2 linked regions of the Caenorhabditis elegans genome follow. The protein of the gene in region 1 interacts with the protein of each later gene in a pairwise test. Each region holds a gene or a part of one and is shown on either strand. Other genes may lie near its edges.

Evidence for each region.
Region 2: the proteins of mtm-6 (region 1) and kcnl-2 interact in a two-hybrid assay, tested with the Caenorhabditis elegans proteins (one study listed by BioGRID).

Annotation. Positions count from the first base shown.
Region 1 is NC_003281.10:13,346,131-13,358,794, forward strand, and holds mtm-6 (phosphatidylinositol-3,5-bisphosphate 3-phosphatase), read left to right. Parts: upstream 1-5,262; 5' UTR 5,263-5,279; coding exon 5,280-5,627; intron 5,628-5,937; coding exon 5,938-6,141; intron 6,142-6,198; coding exon 6,199-6,274; intron 6,275-6,485; coding exon 6,486-7,432; intron 7,433-7,962; coding exon 7,963-8,052; intron 8,053-8,310; coding exon 8,311-8,394; intron 8,395-8,682; coding exon 8,683-9,207; intron 9,208-9,255; coding exon 9,256-9,330; 3' UTR 9,331-9,554; downstream 9,555-12,664. Other genes in the region: acaa-2 (3-ketoacyl-CoA thiolase, mitochondrial), read left to right, coding at 267-421, 478-559; F53A2.9 (F-box associated domain-containing protein), read right to left, coding at 10,693-10,939, 10,989-11,134, 11,183-11,323, 11,874-12,071, 12,118-12,505. UniProt on the Caenorhabditis elegans protein: Probable lipid phosphatase that specifically dephosphorylates the D-3 position of phosphatidylinositol 3-phosphate and phosphatidylinositol 3,5-bisphosphate, generating phosphatidylinositol and phosphatidylinositol 5-phosphate.
Region 2 is NC_003279.8:8,170,021-8,180,495, reverse strand, and holds the start of kcnl-2 (Calmodulin-binding domain-containing protein), read right to left. Parts: upstream 5,609-10,475; coding exon 5,441-5,608; intron 4,327-5,440; exon of another isoform or gene 4,312-4,326; intron 4,120-4,311; coding exon 4,034-4,119; intron 3,878-4,033; coding exon 3,790-3,877; intron 3,743-3,789; coding exon 3,628-3,742; intron 591-3,627; exon of another isoform or gene 478-590; intron 1-477.

The sequences.
Region 1 (12,664 bases):
ATTTTTACTGAATTAGCGAACTTTTTCGTTTTATTTTCATTTTTCTGCTAAAATAGGCCGAAAATGAGTTTAATTGTACTTTGAAATATGATTTTAAACTATTTTAACGGAAAAATCAAAAGAAAAAGAAGTAATTTCATCGAAAAACGCAACCATAAACTTTTTTGCGCGCCGAGACCCATTTGGATAAATCCGTGCGCCTTTAATAAGGTGGAATTACGATATAAAACTATTTCCACATTCAGTCTTAAATTTATTTTTTCCAGGTAAATGAGGCGTTCGCTCCACAAGCTCTCGCCGTTCAACGTGAACTCGGAATCCCAATGGAAAAGCTGAATGTCAATGGTGGAGCCATCGCTTTGGGCCATCCACTCGCCGCATCTGGAGCCAGAATTTCCACGCATATTGTGCACGAGCTTCAGTATGTCACCAAAACTTGAATTATATCCATAATCTAATTTTTCTAAAATCTTTCAGCCGCCGCAACGTCAAGTACGGAATCGGATCGGCTTGCATTGGAGGAGGACAAGGAATCGCAATTCTCTTCGAAAAAGTTTAATTTGAATTTGAATTTGAACTTGTGATTTGATTTGTGTACTATAATTTAAGATATTAGATTTGAGATTTGTCTTCGTGTAAAATTCCATCTTCCACATGTATTTGTATTTATACTTTCTTTTTTTTTCAATATTTTTCCTATTTGCAGATAGAAATGAAAGTTTTATCTAAAAAAAAATTTTTTTCTGAAAAAAACCAAAAATCTGCAAACACTAGCACGCAATCTCGCGTCTCTGACGCCAATTCCCCCCCCCCCCCCCCCCCCCATTTCACTCGTAGTTTCCTCGGGTTATGACACCACTAATCCGAGCAGAATTGATTATTTTTCTCCCTTTATTATATTTCATTTGCCATATGGTTTAGATTTAAAGCTTAAAATAAAATGCCAATTTTCAGATCGGTTCGGGGGTTTCAAAATGCGATTCGAGGACATTGGCATTTCGAAGGTGAGCGTTTTATGAAATTTTGTAAACAAATCTCTTTTATTCCACGGGCTGGCGGCGATCAAAAAGCAGGAGTAGAATAAATAAAATATGGATAATGGCGGTATCCGCCAATTTTCTCGTCACCCGAAAAAAAGTACGCAAAAGTTGTTAGGACTTTGTCCTTCCAGAAAATAAAAATATTACAAAAAAGTAGCGAAAAAAATCAACTGAAAACTTAAATGAAATCGAATTTTTATTCAATTTTCTGGAAGATTTAAATGATTTTTTATTACTTAAGCATGAGAATTCTGGCCATCTCGTACGCCCATGGGTCTCGCCACGCGGACAACGAGTTACTGTATTTTTTATAAGACGGAATCACTTAAAACTGTCAATTTTTTGAATTTTTCCCGTTTTTTCTACATGTTTTCATAGAATGTGCGTACTTATCAAAATAGATATAGGAAAATTCATATGATGCGTTTAATTTTGCCATTTGAAATTGGCATTCCAAAAAATAAGTGCCAAACCACAATTTGCCGGTTTGCCGGAAATTTTAAATTCCGCCAAATTGCCGATTTGCCGGAAAAAATCGTTTGCCGCCCACTCCTGATCTACAGTAACTCGCAGAACGCGTGGCGAGACCCCACGCGCAGAATATATGGTCAATTTGATTATAAATATTTGGGTTTTCTGTGCTTTTTTTGCTTTTTTTTCGAGTTGTCCGTCGAGATTTATTCAATTTCCTCCGTGTTTTTTTGGCTCCCCGCTTCTCCCAAAAAAGTGTTCCACCAGATCCATCTGTTTCGTCGAATAATGTAATGAGGTTGACATGCGACGAGATTCAAGAGATTGCCCCTCAACCAACCGACCGGGGCAACTCCAGGCACCAACTCTTTTTTCTCTATTCTTCTACTAGTTTTGGTCGGTCCCTCATTTCCTCTTCCTGACGACAACTTCTCCCGATCTCCCTCTCTCTCTGGCTCTCTCTGGAGCCACTACTACCACTCGTTTCTCTGCGCGCGTCATTTTGTAGTGTCTGTGGTGGTCTTGTCGTTTATTTTAAGATTTTCCACTTTTGTTTGTTTGTGATGAAAGTTTCGCAAACTTGATGTGAATCAAAATCTGCTGAATTTCGAAATTTTCAAAATATTATCCGTTCGCAAAAATTTTCACACTAGGCGACTATTGTATTACTGAGATCGTGGCGAGACCCACTCGGACAAACATCGTGTGCCTTTAAACTGGAGTGTCAAAATTTTACGAAGTTACAATTTTTTCAAAATTGATTGGCTCTGAAGTTTTCATATTCAATTAATTTTGCAAAAATTTTTGCGCTAAAAATACGGTAACCGGTCTCGACACGACAATTGTTGTTAAATGTGAAAAGGTGTGCACCTTTAAAGAGTACTGTAGTTTCAAACTTTCGTTGTGTCGGAATTTTCCTAGTTTTTCTACTGTTTTTTTTTTGCAAATTCATGTTTGATTTTAGTTTTAAATAAACATAAATTTGAATACTGTTAGAAATTAATTAAAACTCAGAAAAGGTCGAAATTACAGTACTCCTTAAAGGCACACATCCTTTTTTGAGACTGGGAAAATGGAAACTTGTTGATTCTTCTGAAAAATAATATAAAAAAATCGGAAAAACTTGATGTCAAAGGATATTTTACAACTCTAAAATTAAAAATTTTTTAAATTTTTTAAAAATTAAAAAAATTTTTAAATCGAAAAAGCTTCATCCTTGTTGAAAAAAGCCAGTAATTCGACTTTTCTCAGAATTCATAATTCCTTTGACTGATAAATTGCGAAGAATATTAGATTGGCTACTAAGAAAGTTGTCTATAGAATAAATGATTATGAGAATAACTTCTGATGCAAGATCAAATATATTCCAGCTCACGCATGAATCAAATCTGTAGTAAACCCGCAAATCCGTAGTATTTATCCCTTTCTAATTGACTTTTCTCGTCGGCTGTCTACTTTCTAGCTCCTAAAGCCAATAACAAGCTTACCCGTCTGTCGTCCATCAACATTCAGTCATCTGTCAACGCATCCCAGGGCTTCTCCCTTTTTATCTCTAATTTAGGTTCTTCTCGGTTTTCGCTCCAAATTCATCGTTTCCTTTGTTTTCGCCCCGTATCTGCGTGGTGCCTCCTCGATGTTTTTCATTCAATCTATCTTTATTTTGTGCCTAGCTCTTTCTATCTCTCTATAAATAAACAAGGATCCTTTTGCGTTTCAAATATATGTAAAAATTCCAATTCGCGCGCTCCTTCTCTTTCTGCTTCACTGAATTTCAATGGACCATTTTCCCGAAGACACACACACAATCTTTTCGGCGAAAAAAAAAATGAGCAAGAAACACGGAGAAGGAAGAGCTGATTAAACCGAAAAAAAAACGACGACGACGAGATGACGGAGACGCTTCTCTTTTTCACCCGGTTTTGCTCATTTTTGCTCATTTTTTCTTTTACAATTAGACGATGTATAGATTTAGGATATTTTTCAGGTTTTCTTTCCTATTACGGAAGAATTCTGACAATGCGTATGGCGCACCATATTTTACGCGCAAAATATCTCGTAGCGAAAACTACAGTAATTCTTTGAATGACTACTGTATTTACGTGTTGATTTACGAGCTCAAATTTTGGAAAGGATTTTTCGTGAAAATAAATTTTTTCGAGCCCGTAAATCGACACAAGCGCTACAGTAGTCTATTAACAAATTACTGCAGTTTTCGCTAGGAGATATTTTGCGCGTCAAATATGTTCCTCAATACGCATTCTCAGAAATTAGTGTTTCCGTAATAAATTCTACAAGAATACTCATCGTGGAAACGCGCTCCACTGTCAATTAAAAATGCCCCGCCCCCAATAGTTGGGTCTCGTTAGGTATCAGGTATTTTCCGGAAAAAACCGGAAATTCAAACTGTGTCAATCATTTTCTCTAATTTTCAAGCATTTTTTCGTTATCTCTCATGTTTTTTATGTCGAGATTATTAAGGAAAAGCATTGTTTTGACATAAGAACCTTTTTAAAAACCACAAAACCTAACGAGACCCATCTCGCGGGGGCGGAGCGTATTCAATTCTCCGTGGAGCGCGGTTTTTTCTATGAAAAAAAAACGCAAACAACGTTTAAAATTCTCTCTTCCTCAAACCAGAAGAGAAGTTTTTTTTTAGTTTCAAATGGAAAAAAAACCAGCCGCATTTTTAATTTATCCGTCAAGCTTCTCTCTCCTCTTCAATCCAGCTCTCTCATTTCCATGACCTCATTTTGCTCGGTTTCACTCAACAAAAAAGTTCGGTCCCAAGGGATCTTTTTTCCTCGTTTCAAAAAAAAGTTCTCATCTCTGTTGTTTTTGTTTCCGTTTTCCCTTTCCGGTTGCTTCCTCCAATTTCAATGTCGTCCGTCCTCTTCTTCGAGACAAAGTACTTTTCTCCTTTTTTTTTCTGCTCCTTAGTTTTTTTTAAGGAAAAAAAAACGAGAAAATATGTGCGTAGAGACCTTTCACACTTACTTCAAGGGACTCCCTCTCTCGCTTTTCACACCCTTTTCCCGCTGCAAAAAAGCTTACGGAAAAGGAAAAATGGATTGGGTTACGGAGACGTTGACAGACGACGGCTTTACGATTTTATGCTTCCCCTTTCCGTTTTTTTTTTCGAATGCTGGAAATTTCTGAATTTTCGATTTCGTTTGTTGTCAATTTTGCAATTTTGCAATTGTTGCACCAACAATAAGTCTCGACACGAAATTTTTTTTGTCAAATGCAAAATGGTGTGTGCCTTTAAAGAATACTGTAATTTCAAAGTTTGCGGAATTTCCATTTTAATTTTTTGAAATTAAATTATTACATTTTCATCGGAAAGCTATGAAAAATATTTTGCATAATATATGGAATTACAGTAATCTTCAAAAGCGCACACCTTTTCGCCTCTGACAAAAAGTTGTCGTGTCGAGACCGGATACCGTATTACAATTTAGTATCACTTTTCTGATCAAATTATCCTTTTTATTGAATCCTTTTCACTGAATATCTATTCAATTTCCGAGGAGAAAAATGAGAAAAATGACGTGGCGCTGTATCCGTTTCCTTCTTCTCTTCATTTTTTCTTCTCCTCGCAACACTTCTCAAATTGATGACGTTGTTTTTTTTTACATTGAGCGTGTCATCGTTCTAGATAGTTAGTAGTTTGAAATGCAAAGAATTCGATCTCGTTCGTTATTCCTCCGTTCCACTCCGAAAGTCTCCAAAAATTCCCCAACAACTCTTCCAGCACCTAAATGCCAAAAAATGTCGTCAACACCTTCATCGGTGACGACACCACTGTCGGCATGGTGGAATAATATGTCGCTGTCGGGTATCTACCCATCAATCTCCACCTCAACTCCATCTTCCTCATCCTCGTGGAGCTCGCATTTCGTATTTGGCGGACATCATCATCATACGAACAACAACACGGCGAACACTCCGCAATCTACAGTACCCCCGTCGGCGCTGTCGTCGGGTTATACTGAAGATATTACGGTGGCCGGATCACTGTTGAAGGATAAAATTAATGGATTAGTTGATTCTCTGATGGGAAGAGAGTCGGTTCATTCCGGGTGTGGTTACGGGGAAGATGGACGAATTGCCATGATGGTAAGAAGCTTGAAAAGGGGTGTATATTATGGAGACACAGAAACGCGCTCCGCCTTCGAGTGATGGGTCTCGTTAGGTTTTCGCCTATTTTCGAGTATTTTTCATTTTTTTTGTTAGGTTTTTCGAAATGATGTTTAATAATATACATGTGAATTTGAGAAGCGAATATGGGTTTTTTCTCAATTTCGACATGGAAATTATTAAAAAATAATAGAAAACTTGACAAAAAGAACGAAGAATACTTGAAAGCTAGCCCTATAATAGATTATACGAAATTTACAGTTTTTTCTAACGAATTCCCATATTCCAGGTGGATAAAGTATGCCTTGTCGATCGCCTAGGGTGTCAGGAGAATCTAGTCGGCACAGTCCATGTCACAACTACACACATCATCTTCCGAGCTGAAAATGGATCAAAAGAGTTATGGCTGGCGACTGGGCTCATTTCTTCAGTGGAAAAAGGGACGCTAACAGCTGCCGGATGTATGCTAGTGATTAGATGTAAACATTTTCAGGTTTGTAGATAATTTATTGTGATTTGAGTGAATAATTAATTAAGCTTAATGTTTCAGGTGATAACACTTCTGATCAGTAGAGATAAATCGTGTCAAGACCTATACGAGACGCTTCAACGTGCCGCAAAACCTGGTAAGTGATTGAAGTGACATGTTAGCGTGAAGTGAAATATATTATAAAAGATGTATGAAATGTCGTGAAACATCGTTAGTTGATTTGCCGAGTTTTTGGTTTTTGTCAGCTTCTAAGTTTGAGTTATTACCTCATTCTGTCTCAATTCACTTTAAATATTAAAAACATAGGAAAATACTGTGCTTCATTCACTAATGTCGACTGATTTCAGTTTCAGTGAACGTGACGGAACTGCTTGCGTTTGAGAATCGAGAACCCGTAGAAGACGTTCGGGGATGGAGAAGATTGGATTGGAATTCAGAAATGACACGGCAAGGGATCACAAAGTCACAATGGACAGAATCGAATATCAATGAAGGATACACGATCTGCGACACTTACCCCAATAAGCTGTGGTTTCCGACAGCGGCCTCCACATCAGTTCTACTAGGATCCTGCAAATTCCGAAGCCGTGGCCGTCTTCCAGTACTGACCTACTTCCATCAACAAACTGAAGCCGCTTTGTGTAGATGTGCACAGCCTCTGACGGGATTCTCGGCACGATGCGTAGAGGATGAGAAGCTTATGGAGTTGGTAGGAAAAGCGAATACAAACTCGGACAACTTGTTCCTGGTAGATACTCGGCCGCGAGTCAACGCGATGGTGAATAAGGTTCAGGGAAAAGGATTCGAAGATGAGAGGAACTATTCAAATATGCGATTTCACTTTTTCGACATCGAGAATATTCATGTGATGCGGGCATCTCAGGCACGTCTCCTCGACGCGGTGACCAAGTGTCGTGACGTCACAGAATACTGGAAAACGCTTGAGGCTTCTGGATGGTTGAAGCACGTGCGGAGTGTTGTCGAATGCTCACTTTTTTTGGCTGAATCCATCAGTCGAGGTACATCATGTGTCGTTCATTGTTCGGATGGATGGGATCGGACTTCGCAAGTTGTCGCACTTTGTCAACTTCTTCTTGACCCATACTACCGTACTATTCACGGATTTCAAGTTCTCATCGAGAAGGATTGGCTCGGTTTTGGACATAAATTCGATGATCGGTGTGGACATGTGGGGGCGTTGAATGATGAAGCCGGAAAAGAAGTTTCACCGATTTTCACTCAATGGTTGGATTGTATTTGGCAAATTATGCAACAAAAACCACGAGCCTTCCAGGTAAAATCACTGATGTTATTTCGAAATTTTTCTGGATGTTCCAGAAGTTCTCGAATTTTAGAAAAAATGTTTTCATAAAATTTAGTTATGAAATTCCCGTCAAAATTCTTTTTAATTAAAACTACAGTACCCCTACAGTACCCCGTGCCCTATACAGTACTACTACAATAATACCCCTTGAAAAAACAAAAACTGTTTTTTTTTCAAAAACTACAGTAATCCTACAGTACCCCATACAGTACTACTACACTCTTAAAAAGCTGAAGCTCATTTTTTCCAAAAATACAATAATCCTACAGTACCCCTACAATTTTCCTATAGTACCCACTACAGTACAATATCCCTTGAAAAAAACAGAAACTCATTTTTTTCCAAAAAAACAATAATCCTACAGTACCCCTACAATATTCTTACTAGTGCCTCCTACAGTACTACTACAGTAATATCCCTTGAAAAAACAAGATCTGATATTTTCAAAAAATACAGTAATCCTACAGTACTCCCAACTTGATCTCAACTTCAATTTTCAGTTCAACGAACGATATCTGATTGAGATGCACGAGCACGTCTATTCATGTCAATTTGGAACATTTATTGGAAATTGTGATAAAGATAGAAGGGTAAGAGTTTTCTAGATTGTTTTTCATCAAAACTCATTGAAAAAAAAATTAAATTTCGCGCCAAAATGGAAAAAGTTAAAATTTCTCCATTTTTTTTTGAAAAAAAATTGAATTTCGCACCAAGATGTTTTAAAAAATTTGAATTTCGCGCTTTTTTTTGAAAAATTAAATTTAAATCTCGCTCCAAAATGCGTTTAAAAAATTAACTTTTGAAGAACCGTTACTCTTAGATATTTATAAATAATTCAATTTTTTCAGGATCTAAATCTGTCAAAACGCACGAAATCTCTGTGGACTTGGATGGATGCGCGTCATGACGACTATATGAATCCATTTTATTCGGTAATTTTTAAATCTTCTGAAAATTAAATTCTGAAAATGCGTATTGCACAACATGTTTGACGCGCAAAATATCTCAAACTACAGTAATTCTTTAAATGACTACTGTAGTGCTTGTGCCGATTTACGGGCAATTCCAAAATCGATCCCGTAAATTGACACAAGCGCTATAGTAGTCATTTAAAGAATTACTGTAGTTTGAGATATTTTGCGCGTCAAATATGTTGTCCAATACGCATTATAATACTAACAATTCCAAAAAATCAATCATCTAAATTAAAATGTTTCCAGCCTACCGCACACGTTGCTCTACTGGATCTTGACACTCGTGCAGCTCGCTTCACAGTTTGGACTGCAATGTATAATCGATTCGACAATGGTCTACAACCAAGAGAACGGCTTGAAGACCTAACTATGGCTGCGATGGAGCACGTTGGAGTACTAGAATCCCACGTGGCACAGTTGAGAACGAGACTAGCCGAACTGAAGACACAACAAAATCAACAGATAACTTCAACGAATACACCGACGAATATGGTTGATAGTGGAATGAGCAGTGCAACTGATGATTTGAAGAATCTCAGTTTAAGCCATCCTTTGGATCCATTGAGCTCTACACTACCGATTCTGGAAAGAGCAACAAGTCAAGAAAGTGGAGTCATGGATTCATCGTTATACTATCCTGATGAGGCTCTGACCAAATATTCACTAAAATGGCAACCTCTTCGTGGAGCCGATAGATGCTCAAATCCAGCGTGCCGAGGGGAGTTCTCATCGACGATTGAGAGAAGAATTCATTGTCATTTGTGTGGAATGGTAGGAATAATGTGGAGAAAAAAAGTTATTTTATTAATTTTTTTTCAGATTTTCTGCCGCCGCTGCCTCAAAGTGTCTGCAGACGAACGTGAACGAGTATGTGACAAGTGCAAAACTGATTGATTTATTGATTTTCTTTTCATTCTTTCAATTTTTTAATTTATTTCCCTACTTACCAATTTTTCCTCTTTTTAATTTTTACCTTGTATCAAATTTTATATATTTCCCCATGCCCACCGAAATGCTTGTGATCACTTTTTGTATATTTTGCACGGGTTTTAACACTTTTGAGCCACTTGAGATTATATGCATAATTTATTTCAGAAAAAATAAACTCTTTGAAATTATATGTTAACTAATTAACTAGTTAAAAGACAATAAATAAATAATTATGGAGTTTTCACAAGAAACAATACCAATTAAAGTGTTAAAACCGTTAGCTGGAAATGATAATACAAAGGAAACGTATTACGGGATCACGAAATTCTGAGAATGCGTATTGCACATCATATCTGACGCGCAATATATCTCGTAGCGAAAACTACAGTAATTCTTTAAATGACTACTGTAGCGCTTGTGTCGATTTACGGGCTGGACCTTCTTTAATTGTGACATCGATATTTAATTTTCCTCCAATTTTTTAAAAATATTCAAGCATTACATGACAAAAATAATACGCGAAATCGGACTACAGTAGTCATTTGAAGAATTGTTGTAGTTTTCGCTACGAGATATTTTGCGCGTCAGATATGAAGCACAATACGCATTCTCAGAATTTAGCCTTTCCGAATATGATTATAAATGAGATAAAGCAATATTTGGGGGGATAAGCTCGTGAAAAGTGAACAAAAGTAATAATATTGAGATGCACTGTGACAATAAAATGACGGGATTCGGATGTTTCAAGAATTTAATTTTTTTTTAAAATTATTATGCAATTTTGCCCGTAGAGAGTCAGAATTTAGAGCGCCAGCGCCTCAATTTTGAAGTGAATAAAATGAGTGAAATTTAATTGAGACCTGCTCGCAAAAAATTTAAAATGTAAAAAAAAACTTTTCCAGTCAAGAAAATAACGAAATTAGTTTAGAAAGTGGAGAAATTCAAATATTATATCAAAATGAAATTTCGCTTCACGGCCAAATAAAACGCTCCGCCTATCTATTATGGGTCTCGTTAGATATTGGCGAGAAAACAGGAAATTTAGATGATTCCCGTTATTATTTATTTTTCTGGCATTTTCGAGGATTTTTTCATTCCTTAAAATTATTTGAAATCACATTGAGTTCAGAAAAAATTACACAAATGTTTGAATTGGCTGGGTTTGCAGCCAAATACCTAACGAGACCCAATTTTGGGGACGGAGTATTTTTTATTTGGCCGTGGAGCACGCTTGCACTTTGATTTCAAAATTGCGAATTTTTCTGCGTTCTTATAATACTGAAAAACGCGCTTGCCAAATTTAATTTCTTTTGTTCTTCTTTTTTTTTAATTAAAAAGTCGAATCAATCTCTTACGAAATAACTCCATATAAATTCGATTTTTCTGTCTTTCGTATTCATCAAAGGTGTTTTGGCTGATTGGAGGATTGACGAGTATGTGTTGAATATCTTCGGTCTTCGGAATTTCAAAGATGAATTGATTTCCAAAATGAGCACAGAATCCGGGGCGTGGTCCAGTTATTTGAAAAATTTGCGCAGGTTTTGGAAATTCCTTTTGTTTTTCCAGGATACGCCTGAGAATAATTTTCAGATAAGAAGACCTTTTTTAAGAAGCTAACTCACAATTTGACATCAGTCTTCAAATCAACTATCTGATACCGTAATCCAGAAAGTGCATCCATCATATGCATTTGTTGGGATGGCCATTGAGTTGTTTCCATTAGATGAAGATATTGAAAATCTTCAATGATCTCTCCACGACACCAGCGCTGAAATTAGGAAAGGTATAAGTATTAGCTTGTGTTAGAATTTCTCACTTTTAAAAAAGAATTTACAGCTTCTGATGGTACCTGCCTTGCCACAATATTGATCATAGGTGAGTTCACAAAATTCAACGTTTTTCTTGTGAAATGAGTGCTCACTCTGTTGAATGTCAAATTCACTTTTCCGGTCGTCATCTGAAAATTAGTTAATTTGAAATTAAATTGGTTAAAATGGACTGTCACTTGTATAATTTCTCGAAATTGCCTAAATTTACCAAATTTAGAAAAGCAAAAATGAACAAATTTGATTAAGGTGCCAAAATGACCAAATATCATAATACAATTTTATAAAAAAGTTTGAAAATTTTTGAAAAAAATTTCAAAAAGTGGCAATTACTGAGTTTTTGCCACTTTTTGCTACTCGAATCCCTGCAATGTTTGAGTATGAATATTTGAAACATAAGTAGACTATGAAATTGGAATTTTTTTTTGATGGAAGACTTTTAGAAAGTGGAAAAACTGAGACTTTTCCAATTAAAAAGAATCATATAAAATTTTCAATTTTTTTTTGAATTTTTTTACTACGACATCTGGTCTTTGTGGTGCCATATGCATGCTTTAAATTTTAATTTTTTTTGAAACTTAAACTTGATCGGGATCAGGGCTGTCTTTTTTTTGTTGGTTTTTTTGTTTTTTTTTTTCAGACTAAAAATACAAAACAATTTTTTTTAATGTTGTGGCTTACCAAAGAATGATGGAAAATCTGATCCAACTTTCCCACGTCAAGAAATTCCACGTCAATGATCTTCTTTTTGTCATCTAATGGATCAATCGCATTTGGAACCAAATTGTCCAACCAATTATTTATAAACCGAATGTTATTTGCACCATGAATAATTAATTTTTTAAGTTTCAGCGGGGGAATTTCACCGGTATAGTTGCTCTGGAAGATTAGAATTGTTTTATTTCTTCAACTGTAAAGTTCGTACCTGTTGAATAGAATTCTCTTTTCCTGGAATCAAATTCTCCACTTTAATCCGAAGCGTGTCGATTTGGAAGTTTCGTAGCCAATACTCAATATATCTCGATGTTCTTTCAACAAACGTGGCACTTAATCGAAGTTTTTCCGGTTGAAAAATGCCTGATGTGATGTTTTTCTGTCGATCAATTGACCATCCTCCGGTTATCCAATTCGGTGATTTTTTCTTGCTCATGAAAATAGAATGGAATGAGTGTTCCGGAGAAAATTGCGCTGTGATTTCGGCAAATTGATCATGATTCCATGTTGTTGTGAAATGGAGGCATAGTTGTTGTAAATGAGGTTTATCACTTCGAGATATTGATAAAAGGATTTTACATGATTTTTCCAGGTTTGATCTGAAAAATTTTCAATTTAACACAGTACATCGTGAACTTAAAATTTGCAAAAAGTCAACATATTTCCAGTGCTTCCAGCGCCAAAACCACTCCCGGGTAATTTTCAGATGACCTGTGGTAGAAAACATTGGGGTAGAAAACACAGGAAATGAATTAAAA
Region 2 (10,475 bases), on another chromosome or scaffold:
CCTTTCTATTTCCTGCTATTTTGGACTATTTTAAAGTAATCTGGGAAGCCAAAACAATAGTCCAACATAGCGCCATGATTATAGAATGAACACTTTTCTTTCCCCTTCTGGAGTTTATCAAGGGATTGGTTTGCTAAGATCTTTAAAGGCAAGTGAGGATTTTTAGAGAATATTTTTTAAATAGATCTAAATAAAACACTTTTTTAAATTATTCAAAACTTTCAATACAAGTTTTGGCAAATTCTAAGTCCTACAGTGTAAAAACCTGAAACAATATTTAAAAAATTCCGTAAAAATGTTTTTGTCAATTTCCAAAAGTATTAGGCGACAACTGAGTAACTGCAAAGTTTTGACAGTAAGAAAATTTTTTTTCAACAAAGAAACGCTTTTTCACAATTAAGTTTTACTCTTTTGAGTTCAGCAATTCAAACCGTAAATTTCAAAAAGAAATTACCAATAAATGACAACATTACTTACCTTTTCTAAGATTTCGCAGATCAACAAAGTCAATGCTATTAGCACGATGGTTCCGCGATTGCGGAACTTGAAGTAATTGCACAATTTTGACGGATTGAACGAGTTCAGACGCCAAAAAAGACTGAATATGTGAAGTTTCAGAAAATGAGATTCGAGTGGATTGAGACATGGGAAACAAAGACGCTTGAAGGCAGTGAAAAAGGACAAAGAATGGAATAGAATAAAGACATTTTTAACGTTTGAAGAAGAAAATTTGATTGGAGATTGAAGAAAAGTAGCAAAAATTTGAACATGTGATGGAATAAGGAAGTTGTAGGATTTTTCATGAAAGCAGAAGTATCGTGAACACAAAATAATTTTAAAAATGAAGTAGCGACAAAAAGTTTCAATTAAGAACAATGTCGAATGTTTGAATCTCTATAAATGTTCAAAAAAAAATTTTCTTCAAAGATTTGCACTTGAAAAATAAAAACAAAGCAAAAAGGGACTGAAAATCACTTTACGCAAAAATTCAAATTTTTAATATGTGTTCTGTTTGTAGACATGCTGACTTCAACTGTTTTCTTAAGTGTTAGATATAATTCTTTTTTTTTTAATCTTAAAAACGAAAATTTCAACATCATCTTGATTTTTTTTGCAATTTAAACAATGTATTCACTCTTTTTTTCAAAAGCCTACTATATTTTTTAGAATGTTAGGAATGGAATTTGACAGTTTTTAATTTTTTTTTAAAGTTAGAATCTACTTCTAATGTTTTGAATTGATGATCTTTGAAAATGCAACTAAATTTTCCAATTAAAAATATGTGAAAACGTTTTTTTTTGTTCCCTAAAATCTCACAAGTTTTTGTGACACTTTACATTTTCTAGCAGACAAAAAGAAAATAAATACAGAGAATCAGGAAACTAGAACGCAAAAAAAATGTTTTTGGCATTATGCCAATGTGTTTTGTTTTTTTATAGATATTGAAAAATTTAAAATATATCAACTCAACATTTTTTTTCAAAGGGTTAACAAAATGCTTGAAAAAATAAAAAAAAAAGATTTTAAACAATATGTGGGGTTCTGTGTCATTTTTATTCTGGAACTTAGAACTTCTAGACTGAAAAAGAATGAAAATGAAGACAAAAACATAAGGAAAAGACGAAGAAAAAGTATTTGTCGTCCTAGGGATCAAGAGATAAAATTGAGTTTATTAGGACATTCTGAGACAAAAAGAGAAACAACGAAAAGAGGAGACTGACTGAATCCGATTTATTTTTAGGCAAACATCATTTTTGTTTTCTCATTTTTATAGTTTTTTGTTGATTATAAGGGAAAAGTACTATTTCAGAGAAAATTTTAGAAATAAAAAATTAAATTTTCGAAAATTTACCATAAACACACAAAATAACGGTAAATTCTTGAATATATAAAAACTGAGAACAGGTAAGAAAGTAAAGTTGGTGAAAATCTAGTGCCAGACAAATATAAACCCAAAATATCTCATGATTTCTCTGTCCTATGCTCCAAAATGTTAACTTTTCATTTGTATTCTAGACATTCTTATGCTCCAAAATAAGTGAAGAAAAGAAAAATTGAGGAGATTGAGAGAAAAAGAGTAGATTCATCAGTGATTCTCAATTTATCATCTATTGGGACATAGGTTGAGGGACAGAGATCCCAGTGATTGAAGAACGAAAAACCTAATGGAAAAATATCTTTATCAATTGATAATAAATGACATGAGAAAAAGAGATAATGCCCACGTTTTCAAAAATTGAAAATGTAGGTATCCATTATAGTTCAACACGATATCCATCATAGTTCAAAAAAGTCGGAATCTAATTTTTTTTTTCAATAGAGTGTTCATTACTTTCGATACAAGTGCTCTAGAAGGTTTTTTATTTGATCAACAAAAAATTGGGCTGTTTCGAAAAAAATATTTAAAAAATATTTAGTTATTCTTAGGATCACGAAGCATCATATTAGATTTGAAAATGCTCTTTCTAAATTATAAAAAGTTCAGATCGACCAGCTATAGGTGTATACTGCTCCAGAAGTTTTATGTTGAAAGTTTCATTCAGAAGTAATAAAACGAAGCTTTTACATCAAATCCTATAAAAACTGGTAAATTTTTTGTTGAAAATTGAACGGAAATTGCATGTTTCCTATGTTTTATCAATCGCATCATACGAACATTTCTCGAAATCACATGAACTTCTTTCCGGCCAAAACATTCCACAGAACTCAAGTTTTTATATTTTTCTCATTTAATACCTGGAAAACCAGAAAATTTAAAATGTTTTTTATGCTCGGGAAGTTGAAAACTTTGAGTTTTAAAGTGAAATTATAACTGTAAGTTTTGGGATCCTTATAAGTTTGTAAGATGATAGTTGTCAACCTATCATCTTACGATGATGATGTTGATAATGAAAACAACTTGATTTGCCAAAAAAAATCAATGAACAAGAAATCAAAACCATAGAACAAGATCGAACAGAGGCCGCCTGAAAAAGTTATTCCAAAACTGGCAAGAGTTATGAATATTGACCCTTTTTCTACTCCTAGACTAGCAAAGCGTTTCTATTTCTTTATTTTTCTATTATATTATTCGTTAAATTTTCTATTTTCCCATTCCAAAAATACACTATTGTGTATTTGTTTCTATATTCACCTGATTGTCTTCTCACTCAAAAAGTCCACTTTTTCTCACGTGTTTCGTTGTCAATCATTTCATCTAGTCAACGAACTCAACCCACATCAAACTCTACGCTCATCATATTTTTGACACGCACCAACACATGGATACTCAACAAAAAGATGTGTGCTCCCACATCATTTTTTGAATTTTTTGACACAATATGATAACTAAAATATCAATGATTAAAAAAAAGAGAAAATGAAACTATCGATACTTTTGATTTTTGTGTTGGAAACTGCAAGATATATGATATTGATTTCGTATTAGATAGTTTTCTAACAAGAGAAGTACATTTAGCTTTGGACTTCAAAAAAATCAATGTCATTCAAAATATGATCTCTAGAATAAATCTTCACCAAAAAAAATGACAGTATTCTTTTAAAATTTAAATATTCGTTTCTCATCGAATTTTTTCATAATTAATAGTATTTTTGCAAAAATAATCAAATTTCTAGCAAAATACTTACCCAAGGGCATCGGCGGTTTTTCGGAAGTTGGAGACAATGTTGAGGTCGTAGTGGATGTTCGAACAAATCGTGGACGTTCCCGGAAATCAAGAGAATTCCTGGCGGACACCGATGACTGCAATATCTAAATTTATGAAATACTACCTCATCAAAAGCACTGACCTGTTTCAGTCCACTGCTAGATTTTCTCACTTTTGGTAGCGATTCCTCGAGTATTTCGGGTCTTGTTGGCTCCGTGTCGGTTTGTTGGCTAAAAAAATTCAAAAAGTACTTCACTTTAATTATTGTTTTAAGGTTTTAAAATGAGAAGTAGTATCTAGATGTTTTTCAAAAAATCGTACAGGAGTAATACAATTCTGAATATTTTAGAATTCTATCATACTTTTATGTGCAATTTTCGACTTACCTAGTTTTCCAAGTGACACTTGGGTGGGGATTTGTTGAATTGTCAGCCGAGGAATTTGAAAGAAGAAGGACAGGATAATGGGATACCTAAAAAATTTATAAAATTTCAAGTATTTCTTAAATTATGTTTATACAGTTTTCTCTATTTCTCAACATTAAAATGCACAAAAAACAACTTTGAATTCATTCCAAACCTTCCACCTAATTAATTATGTATACACATAAAAATAAAACCAGAAATGTCTGGATGGAGGTCTCGAACTGATTGGAAGGAGCTAAGGAAAAAGAGCAGGAGATGAAGAAAGACCAAAGGTCCAATTAGTGAAAAATAAAGCAAATGAAAAAGAAACGGATAGATCTATGAGCGGAGAGTATGTGTGGGATACTTACTTATTATTTTTGGATATTTTTTAGATTTCAGATGTAAGACTATCATTGTTTTCATTGGCTTTACAGTGATTCGTCTTGTTGAGTTTGCTTACAGTTCCTTCAACAGGATGGATACACATGAAACTCTAGGCGAATGATAAATTTTCCAGACAGTGACCCAATGAAAATACTGAATTTTAAATGATACCATGCTTGGTTGTAAGTTTAGACAATTCTTTTGACTCCAATTTGTCAAAATCAAAAATTGTGTTTGCAATTCATGAAAATTTTGTCGTTACGAAAATAATCTTTTAACACCAATTTTAATGTATACATGTATATGTTTAACAGGAAAATACGCATTTTTTATATATCTACAAAAACGAGTGGGAAATTCAAAAATCTAATACATAGTTGAACTGATTGCCGTAACTTTTTGCAGTTAAGACTATTATCCCATTTTTTAATTTGCTGGTATTTTCGAAATCCCATAACTTTTGAAAGAAACAGAAACTTTAATAATGTGTTTTTTCGACAATGGTCATACAAGCGCCCTATCTAATTTCAAAAGTTCATACAAAACCCCAAATGCTATTATAATTGTGAGCTATGATCGCATGTTCCAAATGCAAAATTACCTAGCTAGACTCATAAATTTTCATTATAAAAATGTCAATTTCGCAAATTGAAAAATCAAAATTAGAACTCTTATTATTGATTTATAGATAGTAGAAAGAAAAATAACAAAAATTTATGTGTTCCATTTTTGAATATAAAAAGGAATACAAGCATCTAGAACATATATTCAGATATGCTCTGATGAATTTCAAAAGAAAAAGTGTTTACATAAATTTGAGTTTAATATTGTTGCCGTTCCCAAATTAACGGGTTCATTTGCTAGTTTTTTAAAAGAACGTTTTTAGCAAGCAACATTTCACAGACTAATTATTAAGTCTAAAAAATCCAGTTCTAGAATTCCAATTTTAGTGTTTGGATGTCTAGAGTTTTCAGATTTTTAAACATCTTGCGAAAAACTTACTTGTAGCGATGGAAACTTCTTCCCCATCATTCCACTTTTTCTTCTAACAATTGGATGTCCTGGACCTCCATTCGTTTTTGGAATTTCGTTTACATCACCAGCACTTGATGACGTCACTGATTCATTCCTCTGAATCTGAGCTGCATTTACAGCTTCTTCCAATTTCATTTTTGAATTCTGGAATTTTTCTAATTAAATAGACGATATTCTTAAAGTTCATAGTTTGAAAAATGTGTTGAAATTGGATAAAAACAAGTGTGATGAAATGTAATTTCCTGTTTAAAAGTAGAATGGAATAAAGTAGTCAAAGATTGGTTAAACCGGAAATTTGACAAGATGATGAAAAAATGAGAACTTTATGAAACATTTGACAAGAAATCTGTAAATAGTGCTTTAAAACTTTTTAAATTAAAAAAAACTGCAACACTTCCAGAAAAGTTGAAAATTTTCCATTTGGGGCTTCTAACAAGGGTATTTCAGCTCAAATTTTGACTTTCGAATGATGCCTATATCATTTGAAAAAGGATCTTTAGAATAGCTTGCTACAAAAATTTTAGCAGAGGAGGATTTATGTGAACTAGAAAAGGTATATCTCAAACTTTTCACAGAATTTTTCACTAGACTGAAACATTGTCTAAAGCAATATAAAAAATATTTTTTTCAAGTTCACAATGCTCCTCTACTTCTACATTTTTGTTTTTGTAATAGCTAATAAATCTATTCTGAATAACGTCAATTTTGTAATTGTCTTGCTCAAACAATTGTAAATCAGTAATTCAAAGGTTTAGAAGTATTTCCACATATATCTAGTGTATTTGTGAAAATTATTTCCTGTAACCTACTCGTCATATAAAAAGTCTCAAATAGCACAATGGACTAAAATAATTGAAAAAAAAAGAGTCAGACTATGTCTCACAACTCAACTTTTTTCACATTTTTTTTGCCTCCTCTCGTTGTCTCTGTGAAGCATAATTAGTTAGACACTATAGAAGCATGGGGAGACAGAAGGAACACACACACGTTTCTCCGAATATGTTGGCTCCGTTTATAACGATGGCGGTTTTGGTGGCACTATGAGACCACACACATACACACAGACACACATTTAATACTGACTGACACAAAATAATAGGATTTAGTACACATAGTCATTGTTTTTCTTTGCTGAGAACAGTTAAGAATTTCTTACAAAAAATGTTTGAATTCCTCTAGCAAACTCTGGAGAAAAAAACAGAGTTTGAGCTACATATCACAGTTAAAATGCGATGTGCGCATAGTGTTTTCGGCGTGGATCGCGCGTGTGAGAAAAAGGAACCGGAAATTATGCCCATTCCGCGCGCATTGTGCGTCCATCGCGAACTTGAGATGCATTTTGAGAGCATCGCGAACATAAATTATGGGCGCACTGTGGGGTTTTTTGATAATTAAACTAGAAAACCCCGCAAATCCTGAGCATTTAAGACAATTTTCTAAACAAAAACACATTTATAAACATGACTTAAGTGGGAGAACGACAAAAAGATAACATTAGTATTAACAAATTGAAATCTTAAACAACACAATTACTTAAAAATCGTCTTCATCTTGCTTGGACTCATCGGCATCACTAACAGCCTCCTTTCTCTTGCTCTGCTCACGAATCGGAAGTTCGGAGGCCTTGGATGGTCCTTCAGTTCGAATCATCTCGTCCTCCTCTTGTTCCACGAATTCGAGTCGACATCTACAAAAATGTTTTAGATTATTCAAGGTTAACCAATTTATTCTAGGTATTCCAGTAAAATGTGAGGTTTTTGTAGTTTTTTGAACGCGGGTAACTTTGACGTATATAATTATACGTTTTCATTTTCTATACATTTTCTATACATTTTCTATACATTTTCGTATACATTTTCTTAAATTAATAAATACCTTCGTTTTCCGTTCCGACATCCATCTCGTCCCCATTGATATCCAAGTTCTCTTCGAAATTTTCCTCGCTGATGTTCTCCGGCACTACTCCATCTGAAGTATCGTCATCTACCTCATCATTTCTTCATATTCATCATCATTACTTTGTTCGACAACAATGTTTTCTGGAAAATAATAAAATTGAGCTTTTTTTTTGTTAGGATACATTTTACCAAGACAGGTCTGAACACTCTGTTTCTTCGCTTAGACATTCCGATGTTGAAGATTTTCACGTTTTTCCTGTTGATGGAATTTTTGTGAAGTCTGCTGCTCGAAGAGAAGCTGCAAAAAAATTGTTTCTACAATATTATTTAAAAGGTGAATTATAACGCAGATGAGAAATAGACACGAGTAGACATGATAAGTAGGCATGAAGAACAGTGGGCATTTCCAGATTCAACGGAACAATCTGATTTTGGTGATATTTCGCTCTTGAAAATACAGGAACAGACAAGATATTTTACAAAATCTTCTGAGTATGCGCAAATACCGATAAAAACTCAGATTACAATTTTAACGACTAAATATATGTGAAACTACAGTAATCCAGACTATGCTTCCATTTATTAGGACTGAAATACTGCTTGTCATGTTGTTTAAATAATGTTTTTAAATGCTTCAACTGCTTAGAGCAGTGTTTTCTCTATAAGACCCACAATTTAGAAAAAATATTATGACTATTACAAAATACCACATATAAAACAAATATTCACGAAAAAACCAGTGAAAAAAATAAAAATTCAATTAAAAATGCAATAAAATGGTAAAAAATAGGCGGAAAAAACAATATATATTTCGAATTTCTTGTTTCGCGAGTGGAAGCATCATATACTTATTATGGGCCCATCGCGAACCGTTCGCGATGAGCCCATAATGGGTGGTCGCCACACGCGATGCGCGCATTATGGCCTTACACCCACTATGCGCACATCGCATTTTAACTGTGTATATTACCACTTCAAGACCATTGTGCGAAAAACGGGTTTCAATTATTTTTGACGACTTTATAAAAATCAAAAAAAATTAATAGATCATCAAACTGCTCTTATTCAAAAAAAAGTATGAAACTAACTGAATTTTTCATAAACAGATATAAAAATATTATCAAGCAATTTTCTTCAACACAAATTAATTTTTTAAGTCTTGATAACTTTTCAGATTTTAAAAGAGATCGTTGCTTTATCGGAATAAGAGGAGCATTTTCATCAGGTGAATTTCACAAAAAAGGGCGAATTGTAGACAGAAGCCCTAGAAAAAAGAGATAAGAAAAATGAATCACGGGATATTTTGTTTTCATGCTTTCCTCTTTACCACAAGAAACACTGATTACCTGAGAGCCATGGGGGCGTTGGAGAAAAATAATTGAAAACCAAATGAAAATCGGGAAATAATTGGAAACATGGAAATAGAGGCCTTTGAAACATGAGGAAACTGGAAGGTGGAAGAGAAAATAATCAGTGGCCAAATAAAATGAACATTTCTTAAAAATCAGAATTGATGTGGAATTGTGTAACCTTGAAAGAAAAATGAAATGGGTCCCAATATCAAACGTTTGTAGACCTTTTTGCTTATAGCTTTTCTATTCAAAATGAAAAATATTTTGAAGCACAACTAATAAGAAAACGATCAAAAAAGTAGTTGCCTGAAAAATTTCAAATAGTGAAACAACAAGCACTGGAAATACTTTGATACGTCCTGAAAATTGCAACAATTTTCTCGCGGTAACTCTAAAGTTCCGTGCACTCTAATATTATATTTTTAGTTGGTTTCAAGTCGAATTGTATTTTCTATGTAAGTTTTGTTTAAAAAATGTCATCCATTGCAAAAATTTTGGGGTACAACTACTACATAAGTACCATAATATATTCAGCAAGTGACTGAAACGATACGTGAAAGCTCAGATTCGAGAATTCTAAATCTTCCGTAGATTTATCTATTTTGGTCTAAAAGCAAGATCACTTCAAGCCGCAAATACTTAACGAGACCCAAATAATGGTTAACCGAACGTTTTCCTTTCGCATTGAATCGCGATTTCAATGTGATTTAAAAAAGCGCAAAAAAGGTTGTTTGTCCCAGAACTGCCTGAGTTAACTAACCTATATCATGCAACATATGGGAGGTTTTCTCTCTATTTCTTTCCTCTCACGTGTCCTGCATATATATTTCGATAGACCCCTACTCTTCTTGTGCCCATTTTCCAATTATCTTCTGCTCTGTTGAATTGAGCACGACAACGACGTCGCAACGTTTTGAAGGAAATAAACGACAAAAGAAGGTGTTTGAGATTGCCTCCATTTTTGGAAAAAAAGAGACAAAAATACAATGTCTAGAAAAAATGAGGGTGGAGTCATAAGGAGGCTATTAAGTGCAATGAATCGGTGAACTTTAAACGTTTATAAAATGATTGAAAAGTCTAGGAAATCATGGGAGTTTGAATGGAAAATTGGAAAACACTAATGAATCTCACCATTAAAATTCACGAAAATGAATTCTCGAGCAAAAAATAACTTTCTAAATTTTCAGTAGAAAATTATAGCAATTTAAATACACTTTTTTGCAAAAACACAATTCAGAATTACAGTTTTGCATACTTCCATTTTTTAAAATTTTAAATCAATTTTTTGAAACAACCATTTATTCAAAAATTTCTTTCAAAACCTATAAAATCCTAACTTAAAATTAAAAATGACAGTAACAAAAGATCAGTGAGGCTCAAAAATTCAAAAAATAATTCCGGAACAAAAACGTTTAGTTTTCCCATTCATGGTTGATAAAAAAGGCGTCACACCTTATTTTCATGCTCTTTTGAATAATTTATCAGAGCTCACACTACAATTAGGCTGAAAACAGAGAAATATTCTTATACAGGATGACATTAACTCAATTATTTTTATAAACTAAAGAAATATGTATTTCATAATTTAATTTCACTGGAACCCCCATCCAGACATAATACAATTACTTTGGGGGTGGTCAGTGGTCAGTTGGAACTAGTCGGATCATTAAAATTTTGAGCTTAACCTAAGAAAAAAATGAGCGACTAAATGCAATGTCCGTATCTATTTTTGAAATTTCTTTTAATTCAGTG